Linked DNA regions of Saccharomyces cerevisiae S288C. The protein of the gene in region 1 interacts with the protein of each later gene in a biochemical or structural test. Each region holds a gene or a part of one and is shown on either strand. Other genes may lie near its edges. The genes, in order: PRX1 and SRX1.

Region 1 (3,548 bases):
TGAGGAAGGAGAAGAATCTGGGTTAGGGATAATAGTACCCGGAGTTGGAGTTGGATGCAGATTGAGCTTATTCAAAAGGCTATTGCCCATGGGAATCTGTTGTAAAAGATGAACGAAAACGCTGTCATTGGCCAGAAGAGTATCGAGTTTAGATTTGATTTCATCCACATCTTGTCTCAGTAGTTGCAACTGTGAGCCCTTCTTAGGCCTGAATTGAGGATTGATTTCACAGTGGAGACCAATTTTTTCGCATCTGGAGCAAGGATGAGGGAAATTTTGACTAGCATCGCATTTGATTTTGTGCTGTCTACAATGTGTACATGAGGTAACTGGTCTATGGTTGATTTGATGACTGTCATCATGGTGAGATATTCGTTGTTTCTTACTTGGGAACTGGTGCTGTTGCAACTGTTGCTGCTCCGGTTGTCTTTTCATGTGAGCAGAACTAAAATCTTGGTCTTGGTCAGAATCTCGATTATCCTTCACCATGACGAGAATGCGTATACGCAGAGCCAATATAATCTGTATACGGGACCTTTGACATTAAGGTTTCTGCAGAGAGTTTATTACATGCATTTTCATATATATATTTTTAACGCCATTCCTTTACGGTATGTAAAGAAAAATGATCCAATGAGCGGCCCTTCGTACGAGATGAGATATAATAAGAATGAAAGATAGATAAAAGTTTTAGTTAGAGATACTTCATATACCTGTATATAGTAAAGTCGTTTATTTCAAAGCTTATTTCGACTTGGTGAATCTTAAATAGGGTTTAATTTCATTAAATTGACCAAATTTAGCCTTCGCCTCATCATTGGAGACAGAGGGAGGAATAATGACATCGTCAGCTGGCTGCCAATTAATTGGAGTTACTACGCCCTCCTTGTCAGTCAATTGCAAGGCGTCGATTACCCTTAACACTTCAGAAGTGTTTCTTCCGACGGTGGAAGGGTAGGTAAAAATCAGTCTAATCTTCTTCTTGGGATCGATGACGAAAACAGACCTCACGGTCTTCAGTGACCCATCATTGATATTTTTGAATCCTTCGGCATCTACCATATCATATAGGAATGCCACGTTTCTAAAAGTGTCACCAATTATTGGGAAACCAACATTTTTAACCTTTGCTATTTCCTTGATGTCTTGAATCCATTTTTCGTGGGACTCAACATCTTCCACTGAAAGCCCGATCAATTTAACATTTCTCTTGTCGAATTCCGGCTTCAATTTGGCGAATGCGCTGACTTCGGTGGTGCAGACAGGGGTGAAATCTGCTGGGTGAGAAAACAAGACCCCCCAAGAGTCGCCCAAGTAGTCGTAAAAATTGATTTTACCAACCGTTGTGTCAGCATCAAAGTTAGGAGCATCAGAGTTTATTCTTAGTCTTGGTTGATCACTTTGTTTGAATTGTTTGCACAGAATAGGTGCTGTGGCAAATGTTTTAATCGTCTGTGATTGCAAGTGAGCCTGCTTAGGAAGGGTCCATGCCGTCCTCTTTAATTGAGCGCTACAAATTCTACTAAACATCCTTTGCTTCCTGCTTCTTTGAAATTTATCTCATCCTACTGCGAGAATCTAGAAGCACAATTTTCTATATCTCTCCTTCTCTCTTTATATACCAATAGCAGCAACATCCGGCCCCTTGTTTCTTTACGTAATTAAAAATCTCCGGGGCTAGCTTTTGCCGGGGAACCCATCCCGAAAAAATTGCAAAAAAAAAAATAGCCGCCGACCGTTGGTCGCTATTCACGGAATGATAGAAAAATAGCCGCGCTGCTCGTCCTGGGTGACCTTTTGTATATTGTATAAAGATAAACATAGTGCTATCAGGAATATCTTTATATACACACGCATACTGAATGTGGTTGAAGTTCAAAAAATATCACAAACGTTAAGAAGTTTTACTGGTAAACATATAGACATAGTGGAGCGCTTGCTCGAGGTCAAATGCAGACGGATACGAGAGCGCGGGAGGGAAACCGGAGAAGGTCAATATGCCCATAATTCTTCTTCTTTGAGGTTGGCAATTATATATTGTATCTGAATTAGGCAAATAGAAAAGAGACCTTACCATTAGCGCCATCGTAGAGTCCCATTTCACCTTTTCTTAGTTCTTTATATATGTCTGCGTATGGCCCACATATGCGCGCACAGTGCGCGCCACCCTCTAAGAACGATAAACATAAAATAAACACATAAACAATCAACGACAGTTCGCGCTTCCCTCACTAAATATGGCGAGATAGTTAAACAATCATGGCTCGTTCTTCCTTGCCCAACCGCCGCACCGCCCAGTTCGAAGCGAACAAGAGGAGGACCATTGCACATGCTCCATCTCCAAGTCTTTCAAATGGGATGCACACTCTAACGCCGCCCACCTGTAACAATGGTGCTGCCACTTCAGACTCCAATATACATGTATATGTAAGGTGCAGATCGCGTAATAAGCGAGAAATAGAGGAAAAAAGTAGTGTAGTTATATCTACACTAGGCCCACAAGGGAAAGAAATCATTCTGTCCAACGGTTCTCACCAATCGTATTCGTCCTCGAAGAAAACTTACCAATTTGATCAGGTGTTCGGCGCAGAATCTGACCAGGAAACAGTGTTTAATGCCACTGCAAAAAACTACATTAAGGAAATGTTGCACGGGTACAATTGTACAATATTTGCATACGGTCAAACGGGAACAGGTAAAACCTACACTATGTCTGGCGATATAAATATTCTCGGTGATGTGCAATCTACCGATAATCTATTATTAGGAGAGCATGCAGGTATCATACCACGGGTTCTGGTCGATTTGTTTAAAGAATTGAGCTCCTTAAATAAAGAGTACTCCGTAAAAATATCCTTTTTAGAGTTGTACAATGAAAATTTGAAAGATCTGCTCTCTGATAGTGAGGACGATGATCCTGCAGTCAACGATCCCAAGAGGCAGATTCGTATTTTTGACAATAACAACAATAATTCATCCATCATGGTCAAGGGGATGCAGGAAATCTTTATTAACTCTGCACACGAAGGCTTGAATTTGCTAATGCAGGGTTCGTTAAAAAGGAAAGTGGCCGCTACTAAATGCAACGATCTTTCATCAAGGTCTCACACCGTCTTTACAATCACAACAAACATAGTTGAGCAAGATAGCAAAGACCATGGACAAAACAAAAATTTTGTTAAAATTGGCAAATTGAATTTGGTGGATTTGGCAGGCAGTGAAAACATCAACAGATCGGGTGCGGAGAATAAAAGGGCTCAAGAAGCTGGCCTAATAAACAAATCGCTGCTAACACTAGGCCGTGTTATCAACGCACTCGTTGATCATTCTAACCATATACCTTACAGAGAATCTAAGCTAACAAGATTGCTACAAGACTCTTTAGGTGGTATGACGAAAACATGCATTATCGCAACTATATCACCTGCGAAAATATCCATGGAAGAGACTGCAAGTACGCTAGAATATGCAACGAGAGCCAAATCAATTAAGAATACTCCACAAGTAAATCAGTCTTTATCGAAGGATACATGTCTCAAAGACTACAT
Region 2 (3,081 bases), on another chromosome or scaffold:
AACTGTAGAGGAAAACGCACGTTTAGCTACTCTTGACAACATTGTATATGGTATCCTTCCTTTTCCTTTTGTTTTTTTTCTTCCTTTCCGTAGATGTCCACGTATAATATATTGTATATCTATATGTGTATTCGTTATCTTAAGTGGAGGAATACAGTACAAACACCCAATGCGTGCTAACACTTCTTTTTAAAGCGCAAGCTATATATATTGTAATATCCGCCATTGTATTATGGCAACTTTTTTTTGTATTTTTCTGGGAATCCGCTTGGCGCGTGATTGAGCCAATGAACGCTGAGTGAATGCCGAGAAGGGGGGGAGAAGCTGGCAGGAAGGCCCAACCGCCAGGTCCCTTGTACCTCTCCGGCGCCGAGGGTCGCACAAACTGCTAGTGCCTACTCTAGTTGTTGAATAAGAAATTGATTAATTAAATTGAGGGATTTTGTATTAGTGAATTATAATTTATCTATGTTTCTTATGTAGTGTTATTAGCGTAATCATTATTCGATGTCGAGACTGCTGCCCAGGTACATGCGGATTTGGCGGGGAGTGGCCGGTAGCACCCTGCAGCGCACGGGGAAGGCGGCGTTCTGCGTTTCGCGAGCCCGGCGGTCGTATGCCTGTAGACGGTGGCAGCCGCCGAAGGCATAATATAGCGTCTGTCCCTTGACTCGCACGCCCAGCACGTCCACGGGCGGCAGTTCCCCGGCTGAGGCAGCCGCCTCAGCCTGTTCTAGAGAGCATGTCTTGCTAGCGGTGGGAATGCCCTTCATTGTGGCCACCATTGCGTCGATCTTTTGAGGATCCAACACAGGCGCTAGGGGGCGTCTGATCTCTGAGAGAGGAATTTCTGTTGGTTTTACACTGTTGCTTTGTAGTGACATATTGTTCTTTTTTTACTTGGTTTTGTAGTTTTTTTTTTCAGTAAGAAAAGTATATATAGCTCATTGATGGTAGATATTGTGGTTTATATACAACACCTCTTGACATGTATTGCATCGCATCCTTACCCAACAGGGCTACTGTAATGACTAAAAATAATGGCGACTTCTGGGCCGGCCTTCTAAAAAAAAGGGACCCGCAACGGGTAACGGCATATTTTTTTCGAAATCAAAGTTCCAGCTTTTCGATGTTTGTAAGCCTTCTAAGACAGAAAGATGTAGTATAAATGATGTAGCTTACTAATCAGGGAAAAAGCAATCGCTAGTATTGCAGAGGCCAAAGGCTTAAGCATCACATTTCGGTAGTAGTAAATAGTTTGTTAGTTCACGTGCTTTTCATTCGTCTCTATTTTACATATTATGATGTCTTCAGACCAACAGGGGAAATGCCCCGTAGATGAGGAAACCAAAAAGTTATGGCTACGAGAACATGGCAACGAAGCGCATCCTGGTGCTACTGCCCCAGGCAATCAACTAGAGTGCTCTGCAAACCCACAAGATAACGATAAAACGCCTGAATATCACACCACGGTGGATCTCTCTCAGTCCAGAGAGGTTTCCACCATACCAAGGACGAATTCTGACAGAAACTGGATATACCCGTCGGAGAAACAATTTTACGAGGCAATGATGAAAAAAAATTGGGATCCGAACTCAGATGACATGAAGGTGGTTGTGCCTTTACATAACTCCATCAATGAGCGGGTTTGGAACTACATTAAAAGCTGGGAAGACAAGCAGGGTGGTGAAGCGTGTGGCGGTATCAAATTAACAAATTTTAAAGGTGATTCCAAAAAACTGACACCAAGGGCCTGGTTCAGGTCCCGTATCTTGCACCTGGCCAAACCTTTTGATAGACATGATTGGCAGATAGATAGATGCGGTAAAACCGTCGACTACGTAATCGATTTCTATTCCACCGATCTGAACGATGCAAACTCGCAGCAACAACCACTTATTTATCTCGATGTTAGACCAAAATTAAACAGTTTTGAGGGCTTTAGATTACGGTTCTGGAAATCTTTAGGCTTTTGAATTACTACAACTATTCCTGTAAATAAAAACATACCCTCCCTAGTTTCCACATACATATTTATTTAATCTTATTTAGGCACTCAATTTAGAAACTAGGGAATGAAAAAGCAGTAATCTTCTTTTAAGGAATAAACAAAAAAAAAAAAAATAAAACATAAAACATAACACAAAATACTCTTTTCTAATGCATTTAAACTTCGGTTTTCACGTCTTCCTCATCCTCTTCGTCTTCCTCGTCATTGCTCTCATCGGATGCTGTTTCATTTAGAGCTTCTTCCTCCTCCTCGTCCTCCTCATCCTCTTCGTCATCCTCATCATCGTCGTCCTCATTGTCAGCACCCTCTTGTTCTTCTTGTTCTTGCTCTTTATCACCAGTTTCCTCGTCCCTAGCTTTCCGTATTTCATTGATTCTCCTCCTAACGATCTCTACAATATCTGTCCATTCTCTCATACCACCCATACCAATATCTCCGCATATTAATACCTTTTCCACCGGTTTCAAAACTTGGATGAACGGATAGTCTTGCACTAAACTCGTCAGGTGTTTCTTTGTCATAGGATTGATATACATGAATGTATTCATTGCAGGCGCAATCAACACTGGGGTCAGTGGTGACCAATCTCTCATCACAGAAGTTAGCAAATTGTTACATATACCATTGGCCAGTTTAGCAAGTGTGTTAGCTGACAAAGGCGCAATCAGGAAAATATCAGCCCATTTTCTTAATTCATGGTGCAATATCAAGTTCAGACTCAAGCTAGTATCATTCTTATTCACAGCGTCGAATACCCAAGCGTCTTCCTCCCTCCAAATTTTAACGTGTGTTGACATTTTGAGCCCTTTCAAAAAATGCTCAGCGGGTTTTGTGACAATCAACTGAATAGAGATTTTCTCAGGCCCATATATCTTGAAAAGTTTATCAATAATTAGAGGTACTTTTATTGTGGCAACTGAGCCCGTCGCACCAATGAGAATGTGGAATTTCTTGTCGTCTTCCTTCTGAAAGAACTCTGTGAAGGGTACACGAGGCCCTGTGGGTGCAGTGATAACTTCCTTGTTTTTATGTGTGGAGTTATTAGCCGATAATGGCGCCGCCTTTGCAGT

The links.
Region 2: the proteins of PRX1 (region 1) and SRX1 form a complex in vitro, tested with the Saccharomyces cerevisiae proteins (one study listed by BioGRID).

The regions. Positions count from the first base shown.
Region 1 is NC_001134.8:99,627-103,174, forward strand, and holds PRX1 (thioredoxin peroxidase PRX1), read right to left. Parts: upstream 1,531-3,548; coding exon 745-1,530; downstream 1-744. Other genes in the region: SEF1 (Sef1p), read right to left, coding at 1-489; KIP1 (Kip1p), read left to right, coding at 2,260-3,548. UniProt on the Saccharomyces cerevisiae protein: Thiol-specific peroxidase that catalyzes the reduction of hydrogen peroxide and organic hydroperoxides to water and alcohols, respectively.
Region 2 is NC_001143.9:276,084-279,164, reverse strand, and holds SRX1 (sulfiredoxin), read right to left. Parts: upstream 885-3,081; coding exon 501-884; downstream 1-500. Other genes in the region: malate dehydrogenase MDH1, read right to left, coding at 1-42; cytochrome c1 heme lyase CYT2, read left to right, coding at 1,302-1,976; phosphopantothenoylcysteine decarboxylase complex subunit CAB3, read right to left, coding at 2,167-3,081. UniProt on the Saccharomyces cerevisiae protein: Contributes to oxidative stress resistance by reducing cysteine-sulfinic acid formed under exposure to oxidants in the peroxiredoxin TSA1.